Linked DNA regions of Pelodiscus sinensis. The protein of the gene in region 4 interacts with the protein of the main gene of each other region in a biochemical or structural test. Links are inferred from orthologs where the notes say so. Each region holds a gene or a part of one and is shown on either strand. Other genes may lie near its edges.

The links.
Region 1: the proteins of ERBIN (region 4) and SCN4A interact in a test that uses a peptide from one of them, tested with the Homo sapiens proteins (2 studies listed by BioGRID and IntAct). The link is inferred for Pelodiscus sinensis from reciprocal best matches to the Homo sapiens genes ERBIN and SCN4A.
Region 2: the proteins of ERBIN (region 4) and KCNA4 interact in a test that uses a peptide from one of them, tested with the Homo sapiens proteins (3 studies listed by BioGRID and IntAct, with this or other methods). The link is inferred for Pelodiscus sinensis from reciprocal best matches to the Homo sapiens genes ERBIN and KCNA4.
Region 3: the proteins of ERBIN (region 4) and ABCA1 interact in a test that uses a peptide from one of them, tested with the Homo sapiens proteins (2 studies listed by BioGRID and IntAct). The link is inferred for Pelodiscus sinensis from reciprocal best matches to the Homo sapiens genes ERBIN and ABCA1.

What each region holds. Positions count from the first base shown.
Region 1 is NC_134739.1:2,073,868-2,081,944, forward strand, and holds the start of SCN4A (sodium channel protein type 4 subunit alpha), read right to left. Parts: upstream 3,186-8,077; 5' UTR 2,981-3,185; intron 1-2,980. UniProt on the Homo sapiens protein: Pore-forming subunit of Nav1.4, a voltage-gated sodium (Nav) channel that directly mediates the depolarizing phase of action potentials in excitable membranes.
Region 2 is NC_134714.1:95,610,358-95,618,508, forward strand, and holds the start of KCNA4 (potassium voltage-gated channel subfamily A member 4), read right to left. Parts: upstream 3,161-8,151; 5' UTR 2,348-3,160; intron 1,624-2,347; 5' UTR 813-1,623; coding exon 1-812. UniProt on the Homo sapiens protein: Voltage-gated potassium channel that mediates transmembrane potassium transport in excitable membranes. Forms tetrameric potassium-selective channels through which potassium ions pass in accordance with their electrochemical gradient.
Region 3 is NC_134716.1:5,225,411-5,232,965, reverse strand, and holds the start of ABCA1 (phospholipid-transporting ATPase ABCA1), read left to right. Parts: upstream 1-4,534; 5' UTR 4,535-4,684; intron 4,685-7,555. UniProt on the Homo sapiens protein: Catalyzes the translocation of specific phospholipids from the cytoplasmic to the extracellular/lumenal leaflet of membrane coupled to the hydrolysis of ATP.
Region 4 is NC_134716.1:89,980,083-89,987,372, forward strand, and holds the start of ERBIN (erbin), read right to left. Parts: upstream 3,137-7,290; 5' UTR 2,454-3,136; intron 2,428-2,453; exon of another isoform or gene 2,179-2,427; intron 1-2,178. UniProt on the Homo sapiens protein: Acts as an adapter for the receptor ERBB2, in epithelia. By binding the unphosphorylated 'Tyr-1248' of receptor ERBB2, it may contribute to stabilize this unphosphorylated state.

The DNA.
Region 1 (8,077 bases), on a different chromosome or scaffold from region 4:
GCACACGCAGCAGGTGCCTGGCCCCTGGTGCACAGAGCTGGTGCCTCACCCCCTGCACACGCAGCAGGTGCCTGGCCCCTGGCGCACAGAGCTGGTGCCTCACCCCCTGCACACGTAGCAGGTGACTGGCCCCTGGTGCACAGAGCTGGTGCCTCACCCCCTGCACATGCAGCAGGTGCCTGGCCCCTGGCGCACAGAGCTGGTGCCTCACCCCCTGTACACGCAGCAGGTGCCTGGCCCCTGGCGCACAGAGCTGGTGCCTCACCCCCTGTACACGCAGCAGGTGCCTGGCCCCTGGCGCACAGAGCTGGTGCCTCACCCCCTGCACACGTAGCAGGTGCCTGGCCCCTGGCGCACAGAGCTGGTGCCTCACCCCCTGTACACGCAGCAGGTGCCTGGCCCCTGGCGCACAGAGCTGGTGCCTCACCCCCTGCACACGTAGCAGGTGCCTGGCCCCTGGCGCACAGAGCTGGTGCCTCACCCCCTGTACACGCAGCAGGTGCCTGGCCCCTGGCGCACAGAGCTGGTGCCTCACCCCCTGCACACGCAGCAGGTGACTGGCCCCTGGTGCACAGAGCTGGTGCCTCACCCCCTGCACACGTAGCAGGTGCCTGGCCCCTGGTGCACAGAGCTGGTGCCTCACCCCCTGCCCACATAGCAGGTGCCTGGCCCCTGGCGCACAGAGCTGGTGCCTCACCCCCTGCACACGTAGCAGGTGCCTGGCCCCTGGTGCACAGAGCTGGTGCCTCACCCCCTGCCCACATAGCAGGTGCCTGGCCCCTGGTGCACAGAGCTGGTGCCTCACCCCCTGCACACGCAGCAGGTGCCTGACCCCTGGTGCACAGAGCTGGTGCCTCACCCCCAGTATACGCAGCAGGTGCCTGGCCCCTGGCGCACAGAGCTGGTGCCTCACCCCCTGCACACGCAGCAGGTGCCTGACCCCTGGTGCACAGAGCTGGTGCCTCACCCCCTGCACACGCAGCAGGTGCCTGGCCCCTGGTGCACAGAGCTGGTGCCTCACCCCCTGCACACGCAGCAGGTGCCTGGCCCCTGGTGCACAGAGCTGGTGCCTCACCCCCTGCACACGCAGCAGGTGCCTGACCCCTGGTGCACAGAGCTGGTGCCTCACCCCCTGCACACGCAGCAGGTGCCTGGCCCCTGGTGCACAGAGCTGGTGCCTCACCCCCTGCACACGTAGCAGGTGACTGGCCCCTGGCGCACAGAGCTGGTGCCTCACCCCCTGCACACGTAGCAGGTGACTGGCCCCTGGCGCACAGAGCTGGTGCCTCACCCCCTGCACACGCAGCAGGTGCCTGGCCCCTGGCGCACAGAGCTGGTGCCTCACCCCCTGCACACGCAGCAGGTGCCTGGCCCCTGGTGCACAGAGCTGGTGCCTCACCCCCTGCACACGCAGCAGGTGCCTGGCCCCTGGTGCACAGAGCTGGTGCCTCACCCCCTGCACACGCAGCAGGTGCCTGGCCCCTGGTGCACAGAGCTGGTGCCTCACCCCCTGCACACGCAGCAGGTGCCTGGCCCCTGGCGCACAGAGCTGGTGCCTCACCCCCTGCACACGCAGCAGGTGCCTGGCCCCTGGTGCACAGAGCTGGTGCCTCACCCCCTGCACACGTAGCAGGTGCCTGGCCCCTGGTGCACAGAGCTGGTGCCTCACCCCCTGCACACGTAGCAGGTGCCTGGCCCCTGGCGCACAGAGCTGGTGCCTCACCCCCTGCACACGCAGCAGGTGCCTGGCCCCTGGTGCACAGAGCTGGTGCCTCACCCCCTGCCCACATAGCAGGTGCCTGACCCTCCTGCGCAAAACAGGTGCCCAGCGCGTTGCACACAGCAGGGGTCGGGCCTCTCGTGGAGACACCAGGTGCCTCAGCCCCTGCGTCTGAGGTGGGCTCCTGGCGTGCGCGTTGCCTCCTGCGTACTCAGGAGCTGCCCAACCCCTTGTGCACCGCCGGCACATGAACCTTGTCATTAGGCATGAGCGGTCTCTGGGCGCTGCCCCTTCTGTGTGTGCTCCACGTCCCCTCCCCTCTTCCCGCCCCTCGTCTTCCTCAGTCATCCTCTCTGTTCTCTCCCCCTCCTCACTCCAGTCCCTTCCTCCCCTCCCGCAGCTCCGCCCCGGCTATCCTCTGTCCTCCCCACGTTATCCCTGCACCAGAGCCCGGCCCCGGGGAGCTCTGCACACTGCAGCCTCTTCGGCTGGGGCGCAGAGGCGGGTTCACTATGGCTGCCAATGGCGTCTTTTCCTGGCACATCACTTGTGCCATTTCACAAAAGGCAGAAATCGTATCCCCGGCTGCCCTCCCCGCATGGGGCTCCTCCTTGCACGTTCCCAGGGGGGCAACTGCAGCGCAGAAGAGGGGCCAGGGATCTCTTCCACAAAAGGAGACACAGCAAGCGCTCCTGCCTGGAGACCTTTCATGCAACCTCCGGCTTGGCCTGGCCAACGTTTATATTTAGCACCCGAGGCGGGGAAGGCAGGAGCCAGGGGGTTTCTGACCGTAAAGCCGTGTTTTGAGCTGTCTGCTTCAGCACAAGGGAGCTGGGAGAGAAGTGGAATTTCTGCCCCCAGCCCCAAAGCCCTCCCAAAGGCAGAGCCGTTGGTTCCAGCAGCCAGTTTGCTTTCCCTGGAGTCTGCTTCGCGCAGGGAACTCGGGATTCCCTGTCTGCCACCCTCTGTGGGGACCTGCTCCCAGACCCTGCCCGTCTCCCTGACAAGCCTGGCACGAGGGTCACCTGCCGGCAGAGAACGCACCACCAAGCCGTCTCTCTCCAGACGCTGCCGGCTGCTCAGGCGTCCCCGGGGACCTGGCAGCGCGGTGCTCCCAAGAGCAGGGCAGTGAGAGCTCTCAGGCTGCGCTGTCACTTGGCAGAGCATGGGGGAGCGGGGGCTTGTGAGTTTGCAGCAAGCCCCGAGCTGTGCTACGCTAGGAGGACGAGCTCCGGGACACTGTCGGAGTCAGCTACTTACTTTTAGATGGAAGAAGCAGGGTCCCAAGGAAAGAGCTTTGGGGTCAGATTTTCACTCTCCTTCGACTCCGGGAGTGAGAGACTTTGGCTCGGCTGGGGCGTGCTGGCTGGACAGCTGCTGCTGCTGTCAGATGGTCACGAGTGAAACCTGAGGACCTGAGGGTTCTTCAGGTAGCATGGCCCTCTTGCGGCTTGGGCATTCGTCCTCCGGGTGGCCAATCAAGTGGGAGGCAGTTCCCCTGGCCCCACAGCCCCATTGCAGGGCACTGGGCAGAGGGATCAGGCTCCCTGGGACATACACACAAGGGAGGTCCCTGGGCCCAGCGGCTCCGGAGCAATCCACTGGGAGCAGCTCACAGACTGCGTCACAGCGAAAGGCCGATCCAGGCAGGCAGCCCCTGGGCTCCGGGTAGAACGAGGAGCAGGATCGAGAGCTGGGCAGCAGCTGGTATTTTGGGTGCAGGAGCCGCATCAACCCCATGAAAATAAACCCTGTTCCGGCTGCACCACCGCGGAATTTTCTTTTCATTTCCCAGTGAAATGCAACAACACAATTCACTCCAGCCCAACGGTCGCTTCGGGGCTTGAATTTTGGACTTTTAAAAAATCAGAAAGTGGAAGTCAGCTTTTGAAGCAGAAAGCAGTTCCAGATGAAACGTCTCATTTGACTGTTACTTGTTTGCCAAGACAAAAGAAGTGAGCTTGTTATAAATCTGCAAACTCGTTCAGTGACCTAACGAGGCATTTCCCCCAGGAAATGTGGCCAAGCTTCCCCCCCACTCAGCACAGCACCTGGGGAACCCCACAAATTGCTCCCAGCTGGGGTGGAGCAAAGCAAGGCCCTCACGCCCCTCCAGCATGACGGGCAAACAGGCAGGGAAGTAAGAGGAGACAACGGCTAGGTTGGGGGCTTTCTGAGACCACCGTCCTTCCTGCTGACCCAGGCTCCCCAGTTGATTGTCAGCTCTCTGGGCTGGGACAGCACCTGGCCCAGCAATGGGCTGGACCATCGGGTCTAGATGCTGCCTCCAGAGAAATACACACTGATGGCTGGAGGGTCGGGCTTAGGAGCTTGCCATCCCGTGACCTCAAAGCACATTCCTGAGGAGGTGAGCCTCATTAGCCCCATTTCAGAGGTGGGGAACCGAGGCACAGAGCAGCAGCATGACCGACCCCAAGCCACCCCGCAGGGAGAGAACCCAGGTTTGCTGAGTCTCAGGCCAGTGCTGTATCCACTAGGCCACATTGCTCTGAAGAGAAGCCCCAGAAGACTCCTGCCTCACACACTCGGACTCCTGCTAAAACTGCGAAGCTGGGAAAATCCAACCCAGCTGACTGCAGAGCAGAGAGGTCTGGGCACACGCCCCCTGCGGCAGCCTAGCCCCCCGCTCCCGCCCGACGGGGATTTAAAGGGCCCAGGGCTATGGCTGCTGCCGCTCTGCAAATTGCCAGGCTGCAGAACAACTGCCCCCTTTGCCCTCCCTGTGGCGCCTCCCCCACCAAGCCCAGTGGGATTTCAATCACAGCCCTGCAGGCAGCGCTGCCACCTGCAACGGTGCAGAGGTACCACAACCTGCCCACCCTCCAATAACAACCTTGCAGCCACCCCCAACTCCTCTTTGGGCCAGGATCCCTACAGCTACAGCACCCTGCAATGCCGGGGTCAACGAGTGCCTATGACTGTGCAATTGACCAAAGGGGGCTGGGACTTTGGGAGGGGCTCTAAAGATGAGCATGGACCTTAACGGTGCAGGCAGGGCACGGGGGCGATGGTCTGTACAGCTCCTAGCACAGCGTGGCCCTAGGCTCTCCTGCCACACAAACATGAAATACCAGAAAGAGCAACGACCGAGCCATTTGGGGCAGTTACGGAGGAGCCTGGTGGCAATGGCACGGGACCCGCAGGGCACTGACCGGAGGCTCCATTAGTGGGTTGCTGGGTTACTTGGGGTGACTGGGAGGAACTGACAGGAGAGTGGGGAAGTGGGTAGGATCAGGGGATGGTGGCAGATGGGGCACTGTCCCCCCCACCCGGAGCTCCTCGTGAGGCCTGCAGGTATCTGGCAGCATCGCTGGGTCAGCATGATTTGAGTGAGCCGGATGCCTCCTGCAGTCCCATGAGGTTTGTTTCCAGCCCCAGTCCTGGCTCTGGGTCCTGTGCTGCTATTTAGCTCTAATTTACCCCTTCTAAGGGCCCACCCAGCAGTGGCAGTGTTGGTCATGCTGCTGGCCAATAGTGACCTCCTGTGGTTCGGCAAATTCTCTGGTTTGGCACCGGCCAGGTCCCCAGGGTGCCGGGTAGAGAGGTTCAACCCGTGCGGGTATTTAAATCCTCACCTTTAGATTTCAGAATTAATAACCCTGCTAGAAGGCATGGGGCAAGTTCATCCATCCCCGAGCTATTGAACTAGTGCTTTGAACTGTAACCCCTTCCTCCCTGGGGGTATGTCTACACTACCCCGCTAGTTCGAACTAGCGGGGTAATGTAGGCATACCGCACTTGCAAATGAAGCCCAGGATTTGAATTTCCCGGGCTTCATTTGCATAAGCGGGGAGCCGCCATTTTTAAATCCCGGCTAGTTGGAACCCCATGCAGCGCGGCTACACGGGACTCGAACTAGGTAGTTCGGACTAGGTTCCTATTCCGAACTACCGTTACTCCTCGTGAAATGAGGTGTACCGGTAGTTCGGAATAGGCACCCTAGTCCGAACTACCTAGTTCGAGCCCCGTGTAGCCGCGCTACACGGGGTTCGAAGCAGCGGGGATTTAAAAATGGCGGCTCCCCGCTTATGCAAATGAAGCCCGGGAAATTCAAATCCCGGGCTTCATTTGCAAGTGCGGTATGCCTCCATTACCCTCCTAGTTCGAACTAGCGGGGTAGTGTAGACATACCCTGGGTTACTCGGGAGCAGGCCACGCTCACTTGTGTGCCTGGGCACCTGATGGTTTTAACATGAAAGGGGAGCCTGAGGACCCTACAGGTGGTGTTGGATAGCTGGGGATCCCCTCTCCACCCCCACTTGCTTCAAAAGGAATATACAGTGGCGGTGCCTCCACCTGGCTGGCCCTGTACACACTTAGGGTACGTCTAGACTACATGGCTCTGTCGACGGAGCCATGTAGATTTGTTGTTTTGGCAAAGGCAAATGAAGCCATGATTTAAATGATCGCGGCTTCATTTACATTTACATGGCTGCCGCACTGAGCCGACAAACAGCTGATCAGCTGTTTGTCGGCTCAGCGCGGCAGCCATGTAAATGTAAATGAAGCCGCGATCATTTAAATCACGGCTTCATTTGCCTTTGCCTATGTGTCTAATCTACATGCCCCTGGCAACAGAGCCATGTAGGCTAGACACAGCCTTAATGATGTGCCTGAGGAGCCTCCAGGAATCAAAATACAGGACAATGTAGCACTTTACAGACTAACAAGATGGTTTATTAGATGATGAGCTTTCGTGGGCCAGACCCACTTCCTCAGATCAAATAGTGGAAGAAAGTAGTCACAACCATATATACCAAAGGATACAATTAAAAAAAATGAACACATATGAAAAGGACAAATCACATTTCAGAACAGAAGGGGGTTGCGGGGGGGGAGGGGGAGGGAGGTAGATGTCTGAGAGCTAATGATATTAGGGGTGATAATTGGGAAGCTATTGTGACGTAGTGGGGGTATTGGGCTGCTTTCTAAGCTGGCTCTGTGGTAACCCCACTGGCTGCTGCTGGTACCACGGCCCAGAAGGACAGGGAGTGAGACATTATGCAAAGAGGCCCTCTCAACCTGTCCGACCAGCTACCCCCCAAGGAGAGGAACAAAGGAAGGTGAATGCCGCCCGGGCTGGGGGGCAGGGCTGGAAGAGAGTTAGTTAGTTTTCTGTCTGGGAGCATGGAGGAAGCAACCTCAGCAACAGGCTGGGGGTTTAGAAGCCGAGACCCCCCCCCATATCAAAGGGGGATGAGGCATCTTAGGCCTGCCCTGTAACCTGATGACATCTGTGCTGTGCTGTATTCTGGAGAGGCAATAAACTCCCTCTGTTCTCCCGGCTGGTGGAGTCTGTTTGTGCCATTTCGGGGTGCAGGAGGCGGGGGACCCCAACGCGCCATCACACTGGTGTCAGGAGTGGGATGCACTGCACCCCGTGGATGGAGCTTCCAGCGGCGAGCGACAAGGCGCAGTAGAAGCAAGAGCCCTGGAGCCAGGCGTGCTGGAGACAGAGCGAAGCGGTTCCTGGGAATCGTGGGGCGCTGCAGCACTAGACTGGTGAGTCTGCACCGAGGGGCCCAGCGGGCAGGTGGCCTACGCCCGACTCTTGAAGGCAGAGCTGGTGGGGCTGTGCAGAGAACGGGGCTTGCCTGTGCAGAAAGCAACCAAGGCCCAGCTGATTGCCCAGCTGGAAGAGAATGACCAGCCACAGGGCCAGGATCTTGTCCCCAGGGGGAGCAGCCAGACCCCCCCTGAGAGTGTGTCAGGCTCAGAGAGGGGGAGGAGCGCTGGAACCCACCGGAGAGATGAAACAGCTTCCCCCAGGAGGCCTGCAAGCCGTAGCCCATCTAGGGCAGGGGCCAGCCCAGCGGAGCTGCGGCGCCTGGAGATCCAGCTGCAGATCAAGGAATTGGAAGTAGAGGACCGAGAGAGGGACCGCCAGGACCGAGAGAAGGAGCGCCAAGATCGAGAGAGGGACCACCAGGACCGAGAGAGGCAGCGACAGCATGAGCTGGCCATGGCAGAGCGGAGAACCTGCGGGGCACCGGCTGTGCCAAGAGTGGATGGGCCCCAGGGTCCCGGGACTGCCAGACGCTTGGAGAGGCTCGTGGTGGCCCAATTGAAGGACGTGGGCGACACAGACAGGTTCCTCAGCTCCTTTGAGAGGGCCTGTGGACTGCAACGGGTCCCCCCAGCTGACTGGCTGCAGGAGCTCGTCCCTGCACTGAGCCAGGAGGCGGCCGGAGTGCTCAGTCAGCTGGAGGACCTACACATAATGTTTGTATCCGCAACCTTATCCACAAAAACAAGCCTCAGATACTCGTGGATATAAAGCTGATAATGGTGGGTGTAAAGCAGATACCCGTTGTGGCGGCGCGTCGGGGTTCCCCT
Region 2 (8,151 bases), on a different chromosome or scaffold from region 4:
AAGATGTCAAAGGGCACATTAACTGGCCTCTTCAGCCGGCCCCCAGACTGGTAGTAGTACAGGATAGCATCAAAGCTGGGCCGGTTCCGATCGAAGAAGTACTCATTCCTGAGTGGGTCAAAGTACCTACCCCGCTTTGCCGGATCCCCCAGCAATGTTTCAGGAAACTGAGCCAAGGTCTTCAGCTGAGTCTCAAACCGCAGTCCTGATACATTGATCACTACCCGTTCGCAGCACTCATACTCGCTGTAGCGCACTGTGCTGTAGCCCCCAGGGCCGCCGTCACCTCCACCATCATCAGGTGGGTGGTCCAAATACGAACATTCATCCACTTCATCCTCGTCACTGTAGTAGAACTTCCCTTCCTCCTCATCTTCTTCATCCTCCTCCTCATCCTCCTCTTCCTCCTCACTCAAGTCCTTCAGTATCTTCTCTTCAGAGCCACTTAGAGGCAGCAGCTCAGAACAGAGGAAGGAGGCCCCACACTCCCTGCTACTCAAATAGTGGCTCCTTTTTCTCCCTCGCTTTCTCCTTCTACTGCTTTGATGCCAGGGCAAACTGCTATGTGGTGCATTGCCATCGTGAGAAGAAGAAGCCCCCCGACTCTGTATCTGGTGGTAGTGATGATAGGGACCACCTCCTCCCGAGGCGCCGCCTTCTACTGCTGCTGTTGCTGCTGCCACAGCTGCAGCTGCCGCTGCCCTCGAGTGTGCCAGTCTTTCTCTCTCCCGAGCCCGAGCCTGGACAGCATATCCATAGGGCATGTGGCTGTTGCAGCCAGAGCTCTCTGCACTCACCATTGCAACCTCCATTTTGTAACTGTTTGTTTAATACAAAATAGTCTGGGATATCTATAGTCACACCTTGACTTTTATGAGGGAAAGTTCAAAGCCATTTGCATTTGGAGGACAGTTTCTTGGAAGCACAGTACATGATGGTATTAGTAAAACTGAATTTGTGTTTTGTGAAATTGTAACCACCACAAAATCTGCATTTTCTTATCATTCAGGATGTCTGACAAATATAACCGTGTTTTGTTCACAAAAAAAAATAAAAGAAAAGATGCAGCCTTCAGTTTTGATTTCAGAAAGAGTCAAGGCCTCATCCTTTCATCAGGCAAGCCTCTTTATTTTTATGATACTTCAGTGGCCAATACAGAATCCACACATCTTTTCAAATGTGTGATTTTGTTGTAGCTCCAAGGACTGCACCCAATAAAGAGCCAAGTGTTCATACAAAACGAGGTAACTGTCCTGTTGTTTTCTTGACAAAGAAAAGTTTCAGGTCTTTAGTTTATCACTGTAACCAAATGCAAATAGTCTCTTTTCTCATCATTTTCTCCAAGTAATGCTTTGGTCTAGCAATATGATTACTGTTTAATAATGATATTGAGGGAGTTGAAGTAACTTCCAGCCATCATTTTGTTTACACAGTGAGGAGGTCTTTGCAAGCCCTCTTTCTTCAGCCTGTCAACAGAGTCTCAAACCTCGGAGCAGCAGCCAGGGCAGTAGCTGCAGTGGCAAGAGGAGGAGGAGAAGGCTGCAACACTGGCTTGGAGGACTCCATAGGGGACAAGAGAGTGGATCACCCTTTGGTTATGCTCATGCAGAAGAAGCACTTAACCTGAGGCACATGCAGCAAACACACATACATACAAAAATAACAAAGAAAACAGAAAGGTTTAGAAAAGGTTGGTTCGTTTTCCTAAGATGCCACAGTGTAGGTCAAATGCAAATTGTGTCATTTACTAAGATGTTCAGCCACACATACACACACCCCCTTCACATTAATACATCACACACATTCATTCCATACACCCATAGGTTTTCTATGATTGTGTGTACAGATACGAGTGTGTGTGTGTATACACATATAGGTGTACTTAAGTATGTAATTGTTTTATCTTCCTAACTCTAGGAGAGAGCGCAACATTCACATCAATACTACTGTACATGGCAGTCACAATTTGCAAGACTTTACATATAGACTGTATTTGTATGTATAAAATCTTCTACGTATATCAAATGTGACACGGAGATGTATACAAAATAGCTCTGCTACATATTGGGAACTTAATTAACTGCAGGAATGATACAGTACATTTCAAATCTAACTTGTGATGTAGTCACAATGCACCTTTTACTAAACTGTCACTTAGTAAAAGGTACATACCTGGGCATATCCAGTGACCAACATCCATGCTTGTCTGACAAAAAAATACAAACTGTAGCTTCCTGGAGCAACAACACACGGTCACCCAAACACACACACACACACACACACCCCTAAAAACAGCACACACCCCTTTCTGAATATGCTGCAGGAAGAAAAATGCTATTATACTTACTGTTCCTAGGCAGAGAAATAGCAACGCTCTTCTGGCTCGTCCAAGGATGTGGAGAAAGAGCTCCTGAGAAGGGGACGGTGCTAACTAAGCAGCCTAGGGTTGCAGGTGTAGGGGCAGCCAAAACTACAGGTGGATGACTTATTTGTCTCGGTTCTCTTTGTACACAAGCAGATCTCCCAGGGGGAGCCAGATGGGGAGCCCAGCTCTGGAGAAATCTGGTCAGCGACGGTCACTTCTTAGCCCAGAGCTTAGCAAAACAGCAACAATCAAGAATCTTGCTCCAGGAGGAAACAAAAAAGAGGATTCGTGTGTGTGTGTGTGTGTGCGTGAGAGTGTGTGTGTGAGAGAGTGTGTGTGCGCGCGCGCGGGAGGACACGCTTGTGTGTGTGTGTGATCACTTGTCTCTCCAAAGCGGGCGCTGGCGGGAGGGTGAAATCAACGGGGAATAATCCCTGTGCGAGCCGAGCACTGGCGAGTGATAGCAGGAGGCGCCCTGTTGGTGGCAATTCCCCTCGCACGCCCGTTTACACTGCAGCCGAGCGCCCCGCAGTCCAGCGCACACCGCATCCACTTGTTGTTGCTGCTGCTATTATTTGGAGGGCGGGGGCGAGGAGGAGCGAGGCAATTAAACCCAACACAACCGACCCCCCGCGAGGCTTTCGCGCCCGCGCTCCCGAGCCCCTGCGCCGCGCTCCCGCTAACTCTGGCCTCAGTGAGTTGCGGGCGCAGGAACTGTTGCTCTTTCCCGCGCTCTCGCCCCCTTTGTCAGCCGTCTGCTGCCCGATTCCCAACTGTGTTTACGTGCCACTGAAGGACGAACGCCAGGTCTGATTTATTCCCTGGGCTTTCCAGCTCTCGGCCAGCCCCTAGCGGCCACAGCCCTCCTTGCACTCATTAAGCAATTTACAATCTCCCCCCCCCCCCCCCCCCGCCCGCATTGTTTCTTTTTGTGGTCATATATTAATTATTGAAAGAAATATGCCAGAGTTGAATAATACATACCTTGGCTAATACAAGGGAGAGCTCGGGTCCGTGCCGAGGGCTGTCTTTTTTAAAGAAAATCTATGCCGCTCAAGAGGCACTGGGAATTTCAAATGGAATCAAGGAATAAGTGTGGCACACAACATCAGTGAACAGCTGGATCTACCTGGCTCCTGCTGGTTTTTGGCCATGATTTCCCAATGTGTTGCTTCATAACAGAAAAGCAGCCCTACTGCTCTTATTGGAGGGGGGGGGGGGTTTGCGGGAAATCCAATCCACCCTAGAATCATAGAATCCTAGGGCTGGAATAGACCTCAGGAGTCATTGAGTCCAGCCCCGTGCCCAAGGCAGGACCAATCCCAACTAAATCATCCCAGCCAGGGCTTTGTCAAGCCAGGACTTAAAAACCTCTAGAGATGGAGAGTCCACCACCTCCCTAGGTAACCCATCCCAGTGCTTCACCACTCTCCTAGCGAAATAGTTTTTCCTAATATCCAACCTAGACCTCCCCCACTGTAACTTGAGACCATTGCTCCTTGTTCTGTCGTCTGTCACTACTGGCAATAGCAGCTCTGCATCCTCTTTGGAACCTCCCTTCCAGAAGTTGAAGGGTGCTATCAATCCCCCCTCACTCTTCTCTTCTGCAGACTAAATAAGCCCAAATCCCTCACCCTCTCCCGGTAGGCTATGTGCACCTGCCCGCTAATCATTTTGGTTGCCCGCTGCTGGACCCTCTCCAATGCATCCACATCCTTTCTATAGTGGGAGGCCCAGAACTGGACTCAACACTCCAAATGTGGCCTCACCAGAGCCAAATAAATGGGAAAAATCGCTTCTCTAGATCTGCTGGCATGCTCCTCCTAATGCACCCTAATATGCTGTTAGCCTTCTTAACTACAAGGACACACTGTTGATTCAGTGCTCCCTGGAGTAGGAACATTGCAAAACCCTGGATCTAATACCTGAATCCTGCCAAACTTTGGCCTCAAATTGTAATGCTCCTACAGAGAAATAAGTCTAGCTGCTCACTATGCAGAGCATTACGAAACCCCAGATATGGATTTGAATCCTACCAGATCCATCCACTTTTAGCCCTTACTCTCCTCAAAAAAAAAAAAAAAAACCACAGCAGGAAGAAGAAATAAGAGTAGCTCCTCCTACTCCACCAAAAAAACAAGCAGATAGTAGAATGTGGGACTTGATATCAAATATGCCCAAAATCCAGCTGGAGCCAGATCCAGGTTTTTACAACATTCATGTAGGGGATGGGGAGATCTAACTGGAAAATAAGCATAACCACTCCTATTCCACTAAAAAAAATCTAGATCCTAATGCACCCCAGCCTAATATCATGAGAAAAACGCATAACTGGCATCTGAATGTAACCCCACTCAAACAAAATAAAGGGTGGAAATAAAAACTCCCAGTGCACATAAAAAATCCAGATCATAATGCAAACTGATGCAGCAGTCCCATAAAATCATGCACCCAACCCCTTGATCCTGTTGGATCCATCCTGACCTGGATTGCACAGAAGGATGAAAAGGGAGACTCGAACAAAAATAGCACAAGTGGTTGATTTTCAGTCTTAGCACTTTCTCTATTCTTCTTGGATTCCCTTTAAGCTCATGATCAGGGAGATTCTTCAAAACAACAATGTTAGAAGAAGGAATGTTAGAAGGGAAGATAGTCTTGGAGAGTGGATAGCCCTGAGGTAAGGCACTAAGTAGGGACTCAGGAAACCTGGCTTTACCCCTAGTTCTGTGACAAGTTTCCTGGGTCTCATTGGACAGATCACTTTTCTGCGCTTCAGTTCCCTATCTGTAATTATAGTTCCTCTCTCCCACATTTTGTCTCTCTAATCTGTTTTGACTGGGAAATGGAGCAGGGACTGCCCATTTCTATGCATTCATACAGTGAATACAATGGGGCCTCAGTTGTTTCAACCTCTAGGTTTTATCATAAATAAAGATGAATGAAGCTCAGTGAATTATTTGCACTGTGGAATCCCTGTCATTAGGAGCTTTTAAGATGAGGTTAGTAAAAAACCTGGCAAGAATCACTTAGGCTAGATATATTTGGTTCCTTCTCAGCAAGGGGGGAAACTCTGCTTGCTCAATGTACTGAATCAAATGTCCTCCCTCTGTATTTGCAGTTTTGAAACAAGGCAAGCAGAGAGTACAATCATTGTGAAGGCATACAAAACCCAGGAGATATTAGGTGTTAGACTGTGTGTGGCATTTGCTCCTGATGAGATGCCAAAGGAAACTGAGTGGAGTTGGGAAAATATGGGGTGGTAAATTTTCACATCAGTTAAGGATCTCAGAAAAAGTCATGGAGAGGATGCCTTTGCAAGTATTCTTTGGCAAGTAGAACCAGGCCATTCTAGTGGCTGGTCAGAAGCATGATCTGTGAAATTTGGCACATATACTCCTTGTTCTGGCTATGAGGCTATGGACAGCAGTTACATGCTCCTGCTTTGGTCAGGAATAATTTGGGGAGAGATTAGACTGTGAGATCACAATTAATGCTGCCTTTGGACTGTTAAAATTCCATATATTTGGGGGGAAACTGGAAAGAGCAACATTTTGGTTCAAGACAAAGAATTCAAAAATGCTTCAAGAACTTTTCCAGTAGCTCTGTGCCTAGAGATGTCTCACATTGCAAACTGGTATTGTGCCAAATTGTCACAGATGTAGAGAAAATAATTTTGATATGTTTCACTGTATGGCACATATGTTTTCCAGTAGCAAATGTATTTGATAGTGTCTTGTAATTTGTGTCATATCTGCCACCAATTTGTCCAATTATTTGAATGGAAAGCGATGCTTTTAGGATCTACAGGCTGCACTTGAAGTTCTCATATCAAACAGCTGCCATTGACATCAGGGGAAGGGACACACATGGAGAAACTGCAGAATCAGACCAAAAACTGTGGGTACGTCTACACAGCCACATTATTTCGTCCATACTTAGTCCATGTCTACACAGCAGGCAGTTATTTCAAAATAAAGTCAAAATACTGTCATGCTGGAGGACTTCTTACTCTGATTCCTGCAACCCTCATTGTACAAGGAGTAAGGGAATGTGATGGACATCCCTTCCCCCCCTCCCCCCCCCCCCAAAGAACATTAATATAAATAACTCAAAGGTGCTTGGAGCAAATTATTTCATGTAACCTATCAATCTTCATGTCATGATCAGCTGATTCTGTTTATCTTATTTTGATGTGTGTATCATTTTTGTGTGTAAAATTAGACATATGGAGTAGGGTATACTTTATGATTTTTAAATGTGTAAATGGAAAGCCATCAATTGGGACCCCAGTGTCTCAGCAGTAATATGCAAATAGCCTTTTGTCCTTAAGGCTTAGCAGTAGTCCTTAGGGATTCCCCATAGAACAAGGGAATGCTTTAAAAAGAATAGGAAGGCAGGAGCCTTTGGTCTTTTGGCTGGGCTGCACCTGCAGGAAGGAGCCGAAGACCCCAGGGTGGGGAGACAGCCCTGATTTGCAAGGGCAGCTGGAAAAGATGTTTTAGGGTGAGTTTGAAAAGTTTGCACTGAGGTTCCAGGGTAGAATTAGCCAAGCATTTTTGTTTCTTTTGATTTGTAATCTACTTTGCTCTGCCTGTTCTCGCTTATTACCACTCAAATCCTACTGCTTGTACTTAATAAAATCACTTTTATTTTCTATCAAACCCAGTGTAAGCAATTATTACATGGGAGAGCAATCAGTGTGCACATTCCCCCTTTCATTGTTAAAGGTGACTTACCTAATTCTTTGGGGTTTGATGTCATTTGGGGAGTGGTATCCCAAGAGCTGGGCCCTAAACTGCACTCTAATCAAACTTGAAGAGGTTCAGTAACTGTACTGCTTCTTGGGGGTCAGAGATCTCAGCTCAGGGCCGTGATTGGGGGAGACCAGGGAGCTGGCCTGGCAGGACCAGGCAGTGAAGAGCCCCAGAGAGTGGGAAGGCGAGTGGCAGTGGCCGTGTCAGCACCCTGGGAGGCACCAAAAGGGGTCTTCTGAGACCGCACCCCCCTCACAGGGAAGTCGGAGGAAGAGTCTCTATTTCTAAATAAGTGTTGTGTAGATGCTCCCAATTTTGAAATAAGCTATGCAATTGACGTAGTTCAATTTGCTTAGTTTATTTCGAGTTAAGCCCTGCTGTGCAGTCACACCCTGTAGGTGCTATACATTTTGTTGAAGGACTCCATGTTAGAAAGTATTATGCATACAGTTTACACATATTATACTAGAAGAGATTGTCTTTGTGTTCGTGTACAAGGTCAGGAGTTAGGAGATTCGTGTTTTTGAGCATAGTCTGACACAGCTATCTTAGCCCAAATTTAGCCTTGTGGTAACAAAGTGTAACTCCCATAGGAGACTCTGAGCCCAAATCAGCATGTCAGAGTTCCTAGTGTATCCTCTGCGACCAACCTGATGGGGAATAAAAAGGTGCATTGTGGGCCAGATGAGCTTGGTCAGAAGAGAGGAGTTGCTTTGCCTCTGAGCCCTTCACATTAAATAGATAGTAGAGAGAAGAAAACCCATAGTTGTGTCCTCTCTACCTTTATGAATCCATGAATTCTGTCTAGTCACCACTATTAGCAGCCCAGAGAATGAGTGATTTTTTGCCATCATTGTACTGGAGAGTTCTGCCAGTTTCCTACTGACACCATCTAAATGAAAATTTGACCTTGTGCCACCAAAGTGGTATAAGAACTTTATTAACTTTATGTGTCAGTTTATCCACAACTGCGTCATGGATTGGGGCATGAAATAACAGTTATGAGCTTTCTCTTTCTTGCAGTTATGTTTA
Region 3 (7,555 bases), about 85 Mb from region 4:
TCCATTGACTTTTCTGGTGCTACTCACATTTACTCTGAGGAGCTGATCTATAGTATTGTTAGTCTTATTGGGTCAAATGCAGAGGTTCTGCCTTGGGCAAGACTCTCGTTGACTTTGTGAATGAGCCCGAATCAGAATTCATAGAATCCTCGAGCTGGAAGAGACCTCAGGAGGTCATCAAGTCCAGCCCCCTGCCCCAGGCAGGACCAATCCCAATTGACTGTCTAGTTTTGAACTTTCTTAGATGGATGTCTAAGAAACCTGTGAAAGAGGCAGAGTGTCTCAGGTGTATTAAACCAGTTTCTTTGAGAGCAGAATTCAGTCTTGCATAGAAATCCCAGATGTTGATTATTGCAAAGAACCCTAAAAGGCCCCAGATCAGTGGAGGCACCTGTTGAAACCAGCTGACGAGGTGGACTTAAATTGAGTGAGCACTCTTACTGTAACACAATAGGCGTATATTTGCATTTGAGGAACTTGAAAAGGGAAAGCGTGACTGATTACTAAATTTAGAATATCTGATGTGCACATTTTCTTAATTTATAAAACACAGCTTCAAAAGCAATGGAATAGATCGGCGGCTAATAAGACTGTCTTCACTCTGCTGTGATTCATCTTCTGGAGCTTGATTCAGTGAGTCTAGTTAAGACTCATTAAATTGAACTCAGAGGGTGCCCTGCCAGGCTTGGCTTATGGTAAGCTGTCTCTAGGTAGGTATTCTACATAGCTGGAAATGCGTACCTTAAGCCGAGCTGCTGGGTCCAGTGTAGACCTGGCCTCAGTGTAATTAATTGAGGCTCTGGCCATTTATAAATTCCTTTGTTTTTTTAAAATAGACCCTGGTTTATATTGGTGACTGACAGAATGGTTATATATATATAGGTCACACCCTCTTTGTGGTGAGGATGGTAGGAGTCGTGCAGAGAATTCAGAACCCTCACAAATGACTGATAGTCCTTAAATTATTATGTACCCAAATCGTATGGATAATAAAAAGCTTCAGAGGGGTAGCTGAGTTAGTCTGTAACAGGAAAAACTTAAAAAGCACCAATTTGTGTAGTAGCACCTTAAAGATTAACAAAACATGTAGCTGGTATCGTGGGCGCAAACCACTCCTGTCATCTGAAGAAGTGGGCTGTGCCCACGAAAGCTCATGATACCATCTACATGTTTTGTTAGTCCTTACGGTGCTACAAGACTACTTGTTGATTTTTAGGGTTTTCTCGTATGGATAACATAGCACTTCTCACCTTCCATGGGGCAGGTGGCAGTAGACAAGTTAAAAGCCTTAAGTCTAGATCATAGTTCTCCGATAGCTCTCCAAGTGGTAACCTGTCTTTCAAAAAGCTGCTGATCTATATGTTGTTCAAACCATCTGGAAACAGAGGAACAAAAAGAAACCAGGAGTAACAGATTACAGAAAATATCTCAGTACAGATTTTGATTTCTGTCCCACTGTTTTATAAATCCAAAGCATCGAGATGGTGCTGCAACGGCTGTGATGGAACTGACAGAATACCACCAGACAGTCAAACTCTCTCTGTTGTGATTTAATTTAGTTGTGAGATTACAGTATTATGCCATTCTGAGTTTAATGTGCACATATGTGATTGTGCACATTTGTTTGATTACTTCCTGGTATGTTGGAGGCTTACATGGCTAATTTTATTTTAAAGCATAATCCTTTGTGAGCCTATTTTGGGGGAGGGAGGGAGAAGAAGAGATCACTCACTTTAGTCTCCATATCTTTCTTTAAAGAATGAAAGAAGTACAGTAAAAATGTAGCTTTAAAGCTGAGCATTGAAATGCACAAAGCTGGAGATGCAGAGAGAGTTTCCATACCTCGGTTGCTCCTTTTAAAGCAAAGTATTAACATGCAGAGGTGCAAACAGCTTTGTTACATATGAGCAATGGCTTTGCACTGGGAACCCTAATTTAGACTGTCCTGGCTCTTGTGCTTTAAATGTGTTTGCCATCTAGAATTTTGTGCATGGAATAATTCACAATGTGCATGCATTCACAGCCTCTATGCCACTGGCTTTTGTGCTCCTCTTTAGTGATATACCTGTAGGCATGGCAGAAAGGGGAAATCTGAACAGCAATAAATTTCTCCACAGTTCCTTAGCTGGGGGTAATTATGGACAACTGACACCGACTCAGGATCCTAGCACAGTGAATTGGGTAGTCAAGCACATTTCTCCAGAAGCTGAACAAGCTGTTGACTAGAGGTCTTACAAATACAACCGGTCAAACTACGCACTGAAAATAATTTTACATATGAGTTTAGCCCTTTTTTCTTGTGATCTGGTCCACATTTCTTCCTAATGTGGGACCCATTGAGCAAATTGTTGAGATTAACAGTTTACAGCCAATGGGTTGCTGGTGAGCTGCTAACTTTTGCCATTCATATTTTTTGTTCCTTGCAATAAATAATATGGAATTAAATCCCGGCCCTATTAAAGTCAATGGCAAAACTCTCATTGACTTCAATAGGGTCAGATTTCACTCCTGATTTATTTCCAGTGATGGTTGCACTGGTTTAACTGAAGGTGTTTTTCAAAAAATGGTTGGACCAACATAAAATGCTGTGCAGTTTCCTGCAGTCTACAGCAGACTTTGGGCAGAAGGAAGTAACCTCATACCAGCTTTGCTCTTGTCAGGACATGAATTTTCTCAGTCTAGACCACTTCTGCACACAGTCCCTGGATGCAATAGAAGAGTTGTCCCATAACATCCCGTGTTAAGAAGCCTGGAGTGTCACAGCAAGCTAGGGCATTATAAACGTACTGGGTACATACTCAGATTTCTGTGTGTAAATTTTCCCAGGAAGCTGAGCGCTTGGGTGGCCACCCACGAGAGATTCAAGTACCGCCCCATATTAGCAGAATGGCCACAGCTGGCAGCATGTCTTTCTATTGGTGGTGCACATCTTGGTGTCTTGGTGCGTACAACAAAATTTATCCTACACATGGATAGAAAAAAAACTAGAGGAGGCACTTGTGGGCAGCAGCCATGCAGAACTCACCTGCTACTCTGCAGCATGATGTGGTCTATTGAGTAAAGCAAGGTGACCAGTTGCTAATTTGAGGTTTGACTAGTAACGAGTCACATTTTGGTGTCGCTGAAACTGATTATGAACAGGGTCATGCTACCCTGAAACAAACCATTCAAATGAAAATGTTTCTGTGTAGGGGTCTGCACTGGCGTAGCTAAAGAAGTGCAAAGATGGGTTTTGAAACCAAGATTTTTTTTGTAAGGAGCATCACAAATGATTGATAACTTCTAGCATGAATGTTTGTATAAACATTCATCCTCAAATTTTTAAAACCTCCAAGTTTCCAGACATTATATAATAGCAGCTAGCTGCCTCCATGGACCCAATTAATGTTATGATCCCTTGGATACGAGCAGCTTATCTGCTCATAAAGGAAAAAATTTCAGCCTCTTCCCCTCAGTTATCCTTCCAGCTCTGCTCACAACTCCTGCAATACTCTGGATACTTGTGTGTGTAACGGCCTCTCTTCCTAGGTGTTAGCCCTTGCTGTGTTCATGGAAGAGAGGGAATACAGATGGCCTTTCAGTGTATAATCAGGGACCAGTCTGATCATCGTAACAGGGCCCAGCAAGAGAGACTCACCCAGTGAAGCCTAGACCTTTTACTAGCACGTTGGTTCCCAACCTTTTTGGACACAGGCCCTATTTGTAATTGTTTATATCCTGTTGTGACCCACTAAATGAACTGGGGGTGGAAGGGCCTGAGGTGGTTTCAGTTAGGTCCTGCATCCCAGGAGGGTTGGGTCCAGCCTGCCACACTCCTCATAGTGTTGGCTCCTGTCCTGTGGGGCAAGCTGGGCTGGCTCTAGGTGTTGCAATCTCCCGGCTTGCACTGCTGGCCAGGTTTGGCCCCACCCCGCGGACAGGAACCACATTTGTGTGAGCAGAGTTGTGACTTGGCTCCTCCTGGGCTTGCAGTGCCGCTCCCTCAAATTTGGCCTCCCCGTGTCTTGTGGGCTGGGCCTAGCCTGCCTGGTTCTGGGTCCTTCGGAGCTGACGTAGGGGGACACCCCGGGGGAAAAATAATGGGTACTCAGCACCCTCTGTCAGGCCTGTGGATCGGCTCCACACCCCCCAGTGCCTTCTGCCCACTGCTGACCTGCAGGAAGCACAAGGAGGGGCGCAGGGCAGCCTGTGCTTGGGTGAAGGCGGGGGAATGTGATGGGAAGAGGCGGGGTGGGGCCACGGGAAAAGGGCTGCGGTGTGGGGAGCCCTGGAGTAGAGCAGGGGGCCAAGCACCCCAGGGGAATCAAAGTGGCTGCCCCCCCGGAGATTGCAGCGCTGGTTGGGGAGCCCAGCAGCCTAAAGCCTCCAGAGGCCCCTTGCAAACCTTTGGGGCCCCACCCAGGAGTTGGGAAACCCGCATCCAAGGCAGGCTCCCTGGGGCTCCCCCCCCCCCGACCCTGGCCGGCTCCCTGCGCGTGCAGCCCCGGGGACTTGCGCGCGGGGCCCTTTTAAGAGGCGGGCCGGCTCGCCACGTGCGGCGGCTGAGTGACGGGCCGACATAAACACGGCGGCCGGGTTTGACCGGCAGTAACCCCGCGGCGGGGCCGCTATAAAAGGCGCGGCGGGTTCGAAGCCCCGCCGGGGCTGAGCTAGCGCCGGGGAGCGAGAAGTGGCTGCCACCCAGGTAGGGCTGCGCGGCGCGTATGTTCAGCCCGGGGTCCCTGCCGGCGGGGCGCTTCTGGGGCTTTGTTTATTGCAGGGTCGCCTCGTTGCCCTCCTGGGCTCCCCTCCCTTCTGGGGCAGGGGCAGCCCCCGCCCCGTTTTCTCCTTCCCGGAGCTTTGTTTGTTGTACGGTCGCCTCTCTTTGCCCGCCTGGTCTCCCCCCTCTTCTGGGGCAGCCTCTCCCTGCCCCAGCCTCACCCCCTGCCCGGAGCTTTGTTTATTGTAGGGTCGCCTCTCTTTGCCCGCCTGGTCTCCCCCCTCTTCTGGGGCAGCCTCTCCCTGCCCCAGCCTCACCCCCTGCCCGGAGCTTTGTTTATTGTAGGGTCGCCTCTCTTTGCCCGCCTGGTCTCCCCCCTCTTCTGGGGTAGCCCCTCCCTGCCCTAGCCTCACCCCCTGCCCGGAGCTTTGTTTATTGTAGGGTCGCCTCTCTTTGCCCGCCTGGTCTCCCCCCTCTTCTGGGGCAGCCCCTCCCTGCCCCAGCCTCACCCCCTGCCCGGAGCTTTGTTTATTGTAGGGTCGCCTCTCTTTGCCCGCTTGGTCTCCCCCCTCTTCTGGGGCAGCCCCTCCCTGCCCCAGCTTCACCCCCCCCCACCCCCGCCCGGAGCTTTGTTTATTGTAGGGTCGCCTCTTTTTGCCTTCCTGGTCCCCTCTCCCTTCTGAGGCAGCCCCTCTCTCTCTGCCCCCAGCCTCTCCTTTCTTTCTGGGCCCCCCCCCCCCGCTGCACGTCCTCCTTTGTGGCTTCCTCTGGCTTCTCTCTCCTCTTTCTCCCCCCCCCCCCTTCCCCAGCGCTTGTTTGCAAAGGGATTTATTTGGGCTGCTCCGGGTTTTCTTCTCTGCTGCTTTCCTCCATGGCTCCTGGCTGGAGCCGCTCTGTGTCCAGGGTCTGCTCTCTCCTGCCCCGCTGCTTTCTCAGCAGGAGCCCTCCAGCTGGGGCGGCCCGGGCAGGAAGGGAGGGCAACCCAGCCAGGCAGCCCTGCTGGGACTGACCGAGAGTAACCCCTGGCGTCTAAACTCTGGTTCCTTAGAAAAAAATAACAATTGGAGCCCTCCTCTTGGCAGAGTCTTTTTTTGCACACGCCGGCCTCGCTGGGGGACTGGGGATTCGCCTCAAGGAGGTGGGGGAAAAAATATTCTTGTAGGAGAGAATCCGGCTTCCAGGACTGTTGTGTGCAAGGAGAAAGACTGAAGGGATCCAACAAAGGAAAATGGGGGAAAATAGCTGCTGATCGACTCCAGGCTAAAGTACCTGGCTTCCTGCCCCATTTCCAGGGAGTTAGGAGCTCTGCCTGGGAGGATGTTTTGGGCAGAATAGAAAAGTGCTTAGGATCTGGGTGTGCTTTGTATCTTTTTCTGAAAAATGTAGTTCATTTTATTTGGGTGTGCTTGTGGGCTACATATTTCATGCTGCCAGCACTTATTCCTTCACTGTGAGATGGGAAAGCCTAACAGGGCAGAATTGGATCTCCGCTACAGCCATGTCACCAATCCCTTAAACTCTGTGGAATGACTCCACGGGTATATAAGACCAAAATCAGTCTCAGTTCCTGTATAGGAGTGACAGCACCTTTAACAGCAGGCTTCATCTTTTGTTGCTACATCATAGCTGATAATGAAACCGTGTTTAGGGTTATGATGGTGTACTAAAAAAACAAGGGGTCAAAATAAAGCTGTAAAATTCAAGTTGCTACTTGAAAATGGTTGATATTTTTTTCACCAAAATTATCTTTAGTTCTAGCACAGGTCACAAAAATCAAACATTTCCAAATCCTTGTTTTAATTTCTGATGGTGTTGTAAACACACACACAAAATATAGTTGTAACCTAAATACACCATGTAGGTTTTTTTTAACTTCAAGGCAACACTCAGGCTATGTCTACACTAGCGTGAATTTCCGAAAATGCTTTTAACGGAAAAGTTTTCCGTTAAAAGCTTTTTTGGAAAAGTGGATCTAGATCGGCAGGACACTTTTCCAGAAAAGCACTTTTTTCCGGAAAAGCGTCTGTGGCCAATCTAGATTCGCTTTTCCGCAAAAAAGCCCCAGTCGTCATTTTCGTGATCGGGGCTTTTTTGCGGAATACACTACTGTGCTGTCTACACTGGCCCTTTTGCTGTCACCACTGGCCCTTTTCCGGAACAGTTTTCCAGAAAAACTTTTGCCCGAATGGGAGCAGCATAGTTTTTCAGGAAAAGCACTGATGATTTTACATTACATCGTCAGTGCTTTTCTGGAAATTCAAGTGGCCAGTGTAGACAGCTGGCAAGTTTTTCCAAAAAAGCGGCTGATTTTCCGGAATAACTTGCCATTGTAGACACAGCCTCAGAGTGGAGTCTCTCACAAACCAATGTGCTTAAGTGCTTTGTTGAATTGTGCCCTAAATGAAAACTGCTTTTTTGAAAATCTGGCCATGTTAATATTTTAAAATACAGTACTAAAATCCAAACAGAACAGTGTCACTACAGCCGCAAACCCTATGGACAACCCAATACTAGTCACAATAGACAACAGTTGTGCTTTAATTTTCATGACACTTCGGTGTGGCAGAGGCCTTTGTGCAGTGCTTTGTAACTTCAAGGGATGCTTTGTGGAAGCACATCCAATATCAATAGTGATATTAAATAGGAATTATGGCGAGGGAAATGAAATGAAAGCATGTCTTGTGCAGAAACAGCTAGGTACATATCGCCTCCCTTAAGAAATCCAAAGGGAAGTATATGGCGAGCCATCCCCAAACCAGATGGATCACTGAGTTTCTGCAGTGCCCTTGCAGACTGTTCTCCTAACTACATAGTATCCCAGACCCTGGCTGTTGGGTCATGTTAATGACGTGACAG
Region 4 (7,290 bases):
AGAGGCAGCAGCATGGGGGGTGGGGGGAAAGGCAGGCAGCACTGCGGAGACGGTGCTGGTGGGAACTGGTTTTTAAGCCAGCTCCCTCCAGCACCGGCTCCTGCTCTTCCACTTGATGCCTCTGATATAGAGGCAGTAAGGAGAGGGGGAAATGCCAGCAGTCAAGTAGTCGACTCCACTACCCAATACGTGTAGACTTATGAGGTAGTCAACTACTTGACTAGTCACTTACATTCCTACACCAAAAATGACAATTTAAAGATTTTATTACTTAAGTAATTTTTTATTCTGAAAACACTGCTGGTTGCAAGAAAGAATAAATTCTCTGATGAATACTAAACTATGTTAATGAAATGAACACCATTTTATGGCATAACCACCAGCTATAAGTAGCAGTGAACTGCACTCTCATCATTTAAGGGCCTTATTTTAGCTGCCATAATGACAAAACCAGTTCAAAAAGTTGGTGCCCCAAATACAAGGATCTCTTCTCCTACATGGTACTGAAAAATATCTAGCACATCATCAGAAAAACAAAAAGTCCGAAAAGAAATAAAATTGCATCCATTAGGAATACATTAGTTGACAACTAAATTTGTCATGCTTTACTACATTTTCCCCCACCTTCAGAACCGTGTCATTGTTAGGAATGAAGCAGTGCTTTGGAAAATGATCATTCTCTATAAAAGGATTACTCTATTTAGACTTCATTGCTTCACTGCCAAGTATAAGCCATAGAAGGAAGATGAAGTTCAAATGTCATCTATTTTGTTTAGTTCTTTCAGATGCCCAAGAATAACCTCTTCTGTTGCCTGTGAAGATAAGTCTATAAATCATAACCCAGATCAGTTGTGCATTATCATTTGAAAAAGCTATTTTGTATTGACACAAATCTGTCACTTTTCCACTAAAGAATACTATTACTAAATGAGTCTGTGCTAGATGAATAATCATTTCATCACTACACAAAACTGCCTGATGTTATTTATCAGATCTGGGTCATTTTTAAATGTTTTACTTTCTTAAAATGGGCAAATACATATATAACAAGTATAAAAAGTTCATATAAAAGTGAATATATTTGGTTCTCAGGCACACACGCTTCTCAGACAAGCCAGTTCCATATTCCTAAACCAGGCTGATCACACAACATATCCAGTCAGTACAACTGAAAACACTCTGCCATCCACTTCGTTATTCAAGAATAATAATTTAGACTGTCTTCTATCAAGGACAACATAAACTAGTCCCAAGCTATGGCCTTTAATGCATTCTTTTGAAATCTATACAATACATGAATGATTTTTTTTAGACCTCTCTCAGCACATATAGTTTTGGAACTCCAGTGTAATCAATATCTGGCATTGGCTCTCTGAAGCATCTTAAACCAAGTTGTTATAGGACATCTAGATACTTTGTATAATATGTTTTGTGTTAAATAAAATTAGTCAAGATAAAGTAATATGTAGTAGCCACACTTTTGCAATAGCCTTAACAAGATGATTGTAGTATCACATTGCATTGAGCCTGTGTGTATTCCTATCTCAAACAAATTTTGATTAGAAGTCCCATATAAAGCAATGAAAATTAAATTTGTCAGTTTTTACCCAAATTATACCATATTAATTTTGAGAAGCAGTTCTTATAGTAACTCATATTAAAGTATAGTATCTTCCATTCTTTCGACTACATCAGATTTTACCAGGATAAACTTCTACAGGTTCTAAGTGTAGGTATATGTCTTGCATATGAAAATCATTCAATTTCTGCTATAAGGAAAGGCAATGCAAGAAGTGTTGGCTATCCTGCCCCAGGTATTAAGATAAAATTAAACAAACTAACTCTTCTCCAGTGATGAAATAGATAGCCAAACTCTTCATCTTGAAGAACAGAAGACAAACAACACAACCTTATTTGTAAAGTGAACAAATGATTACAAAGAAAGAAAGATCAGTCGTTCTTTTTAAAGGATGCACATATTAGATGGCGACAGTAAAGGAACCAACACCCTTGAAAGTAAAGGGGGGAAAGCAAATATCTCCTAACTTCTGGATTTCTTTCAAGTAAAATAATTAAGAGCAGTACCCTTTGGAAGTGTTTATTTGTAGAGAAAGGAACTAAGCTGCCGGGCTAACTATTTCAGAAGAGAACCATAACCAGGCAGTTTCACTTCAATACCTCATCCTGCTGAACAAAGAAACTTCTGTTTGAGGAGCTTAAAAACTTTCGATCTCACCAGATTCTTCTTGCAACCTCCATAGAAATAACGATCCCACACACACAAATAACATTGGAAGAGACAAAAGGAGACTCGGGCTTTTTTCAGGCAGACAACACAGCCCAGCAGAAAACTAAAGGCCAAAAACAGGATATCGGAATGAAGCGCCAGCTCCTTCCTTTCCCCTCCCCTCGGCGCAAGGTTTCTTACCCAAACCTCCTCTGCACCCACTTACCTTCGATCGCTGCTGTCTCGATCAGCTTCACCCTACCCCAGCAGGGCCCCTCTCCGTCCCAAGGGGAATTTTAAATCCAACCAAGTTTTCTTCACGGGGGCCGAGCGGATGCAGCCGCTGTTGGTCGGGAAGCAGGGCTGGGGCAGGGAGGACGCAGCACCGGCTTCTCGGCACCCCCGGTCCCGGTTTCAGCGGCCAACCGATCCCGGCCGAGTCACATTCCCCGGCCGCGGCGCTGAAGTTGGAGAATCACTTCCTGCCCTGGGCACGGGCACAGACGGCGAGTCTGCAGCGCCCGCTTCGCCACCGCCCCCTGCCGCCCGAGCCAGGCTGCCTCCTCCCCACACTAGGCCAGCTCCGCGCGCCGAGCCCGCCCCGCCTGCAGTCCCGTCCTATAGAGACTGCCGCATGCAGCCCGGCCCCGCCCGCCCCGCGCCGCTAACCGCCGCCAGGGGCGCGAGGCGAGGAACAGGCAGCGCCCTCCGGCCGGGCGGTGGCTGGGGAACCGGTAGTAGCCGGGCCACGTCGTGCCCGCAGCGGGGCAAGGGGCGCTCACGATACACAAGGCAGGCGGCAGCACCGCCGCACAGCCAAGGGGAGACACTGCAGCGCCGCCGGGAGGGAGGGGAAGGGCGGGCGCGCCTCTGTCTGTCTCTCTCACACACACACTCCCTCCGGCTGGCCGCTAGAGGAAGGCGAGACCCCGCCTGCCTCACTCCTGAGTCAGACCACAAGCCCGGGGCTGAGTGCGAGCAGCGGCGGAGCACAGCCAATCCGGAGCCAGGGCCTCGCGAGGGGCGGCCAGCCCCAGCCAATCACGGCGCTCTACGAGCAATGCCTCAGCAAGTTGCGTTGCATGAAACCGGGAAGCGATGTGCTGAGGGGGGGAGGGGCGGCTGTGCGCTGGGTTGGTGCGGGGGTGGGGGAGCGAGGAACACGCGGGGGTAGGGGCAGGGAAAGGGCGCGGGGCAGTGACAGGAGCGGAACGAAACGAAAAGGTAGAGGGGGAGGGGCAGAGGACGGGGCTGGCGGGGGTGAAGTGGAGGGGGAGGCGGGCGATGAAGGCTCGCCAGAGGTCAGCGTAACGTTCCCTTCGCTGTTTGTCTCTCACGCCCACAGCGCTCGCTGCTGCGTGTGTGGAAAAGCGGCAGCTCGCAGTCGTTGATGCCCTTTTTCTTCCTCATTAAGCAATCGCCGCGTGGTTTCGCTGCCTGTTTTTAGTGTAAAGGTGTCGCTGTTTCTTCTGCTTGTTGGCAGCCAGTGGAATGCAGGGCGCGGTGGCTCGCTTGTTCGTTTAGAGACCGTATCAGTTAAGACAGAGTCAACCTTGAGTCTGGAATGAGAGTTGTTTTCTTAGGGGTAATCCGCTCAGCATCATAATATAGTAATTGCACATATTACAGTCAGTCTTGTGCCAGGCTTTTGTTCTCTTGCACATAACAACCTTGTTAGTTATCACTCCAATGTGCCATTTATCTCGAGTATTTTTATTGGGGAGTAAGGGCACAGTGCCACATGGTGAGTTTCCAAAAAAAAAGTATTAAATTAAATTACTTAAATGCTAATAATAGTGTCATGCTATATTTGAGATCGTGGATACTAAACTAGGAAATTCAAAGTTGTATTTCTTATTGAAACATTCCCCCTTTCTACATAAGCAGCGTTTCACTAAATATGCTATTAATTTAAATGTTTCATAACATGCAACGGTATGTGAAATGTAGCTAGCAGATTTGTTGTGTGACACTTGATTTATTCATCTGTTCATGTTAAATCTCAACAATATGTGGTGGTAGCTGTTTTTGCTTTTTGTATCCTTAGTTTTTTTAGTGAATCTGTTACTTATGCACCATGCCAGATTGACAAATCTGGAGTCTAAAGTTCTGAGCCACAGGACAGACAGCACTGGTAACTGCAGGATGGACTTCCACATGCTGATCACCTTCTGTTCTGTAATCATGTTCTGAGGGGGCCACTTCTAAGGATGTAGTTTTCACACTCATTTAATCTTTGGCTACTTTAATGGGACTGTGAACAAATGTGCCAGTATGAATGGTGATGCTGTATATTTAATCCAGGCCCATTAAGAATTGAACTAAACCCAAACTTTTTATTAATGCTACTGAACACTCATTATACAGTAATGATTTGTAGTCACAACCTGAGCCACATCTACATGACTAGAGACCTACATCAGTATAACTATGTTGCTCAAAATCCACACCCCTTGGCAATGTAATTATACAACTTAGTTCCTGTGTAGACAGCACCATGTTGATGGGAGAGCTTCTGTGAACATGGCTACTGCTCTCCTGGAAGTGGTTTAACTACACCAACAGAAAACTACTTCCATCAGCATAATAGCATCTCCACTAAAGCACTACAGCTGTGCCCCTGTAGCATGGGTGGCCAGTAACAAAGGCAAGGGAAGGTATTACCGTCCCAAAACTGCCTACATTGCCCAGCTGCCCTAGAGTGGCAGCCCAGTGGCCAGGGATGACTGGAGCCACAGTACCAGGAGACTAGCTCCCTGCCAGCCAGAGAGAGCTGGGGCTGTAGCACAGGGAGCCCTGTTCCTCCTGGTAGCCAGGAAAGATATGGTTTGAGAGCTGGAGTTGGCCGGGGTTTGTTTAGGGGGAAGAATTGTTTAGGACAGTGGTCCCCAACCTTTAGAGGCTCCCGGGCGCTCGGGAGGTGGGGGCCACTCATGCGCCGGGGGCGGAGCCGTGCGTCCGGGGGCACGCAAGAGGACTGGGATGCTCTTGCACCCGGCGTTTGCCCTAGGGCCGGGGCCGCCAGAGCGCCGTGGGCCCGGGGCCGGCGCTGCCGCCCGAGCAACGCACCTGGGGCCGGCACCGGCGCCGCTCGAGCACCGAGTGCCCGCAATGTGCCCCGGGACTGGAGCCGCCCGAGCGCCGCGCACGCAGCGCCAGTGTGTGTCGCGCGCTTGGGGCCGGCGCCTCCTGTGCGCCGGGAGCGGGGCCAGCCCAGGTTGTCAGCGGGCGCACACGAATGCCCCAGCAGGCGCCATGGCGCCCGCGGGCACCGCGTTGGGGACCACTGGTTTAGGAGGTATTGTCGCAGGGGAAGGGGTATGGCTTTTGTTGGGAGGGGCGGGGCTTGGGCTTGTCTTCCCTTCCACCGCTGGGCCTTCACCCAGTACCCATGCCCTGTAGCACTATACATCAAGACAAGCCCCTTGAAGTAAAAAGTTTATCATTGCCATTCTCCTGAGATTGATCATTAGATCCATTATCAGTCCAGTTCAGGAATGTTACAGTTACCATTCAGTTCAATGAAGGGGTTTGAGTGCTAATAGTTTAGCTGAGATTAAGTGAATATGCTCATATTTAAATAAATGCACTTAAATTTGATTGTACCTTCAAATGTTTATTTGAATATTTTCATATGTAAATAGGAATTACATATTTTGCTATTTAATGTTCAATTATTCAAATATAGCAACATCTGGACTTAAGGCAATATGCATTAGGTTGCACTCATTTTGTTCCTACATTTTTCTCAAATAATCCCGTCCTCTGTTTAATAAATATCTGATAACAACTATGCCAAATTTTACACTTATAAATAAAGGCATTGTAAACAAATTAGGAAGAGGTCTCTTCCCTCCCTCCCCCAACAATGAAACCTCTATCATTTTCTCATGTTCATACAAGTATCATGGATCATTTGATGATTGTGTTCTGTTCATTCTCTCTGGGGCACCTAGCACTGGCCATTGGTGAAAGACAGGATACGGGAGTGGATGGAATTTTGATTTCACCCAGTATAGCTGTTTTTAGGTTCTTACTTCTTTTTCTTCAGAACAACTCACCTTTTGTCTAAAACTAAGTATGACACATTTCATGCGCCAAAGTTAAAAATAAGTCTACAGCGGCAAGTTACTGTGCAGTAAATCAGTCCCCAGCATTGTAACTTTCTCAGTATCCACACTGGCAAATCATAATGTACACTAGTTTGCTGTAGGTAAACCAATTTTGCAAACAGCATAGAGATTGCTGTGCTCTGGATAATGCGTTTGGGCACTAGTGCGGTGAAGTACTGTGTTATGATTAGTCTCCAGCACTCTTCTCATGCTGCCTGTTCTTGCCTCTTTGGACATCGCTTTGAACTCTACTGCCTTGCTCTCTGGTGACCAACCCCCAGACCCATCCTTTGCATTCTTTTTGAGATTTGAGTCCCCTTTCTGTTTGCTCAGTGACATATGGTGTGTTCTCAGGGCATCTCTCCAGCTAGCCATGCACCAGGAGTTCCCCAACTTGGAACCATTCAAAGATGCTGTTTAGTGTTCCCTCTAAGATTGTCCAACCGTGAACGGAGTGAATTTTGGCTTGTGCATCAATATTGAGGTCGTGTGCTCGATCGGATGTGTGCCACTATGGCACCCAAGTTATTAACACACACACACACACACCCAGCTGTCAGAGCAGAAATCTCCTTCTCCCCATGCCATGTACCATGTCCTGTTCCCCTCCACCAGAGCAGACCCTGTCCCCCCAGCCTTGTGGTAGGTCCCTTTCCCAGCCACTGAAACAGACACCACCACCCCGCCCACCTCCTCCCCACCATGCAGCAGGTCCCGTGCCTGGCCCCAGCTGCCAGAACAGGCCCCGGCTCCCCATGCCATGTGGCAGCCCAGCCACTGAAGCAGGCCTTCCTTCCCTTCCCCTTCCCCCCCCTTCCCCTGCCATGCAGCCATGGCAGGTCCCAACCCCAGCAGCTCCCTTACCATGCTGGCTCAGCTGGCCCCACCCGCTGGAGCAGCCAGCTGCCATGGGCATGCTGCCACACAACTCTCCAGAGGAGATGGGCAGGG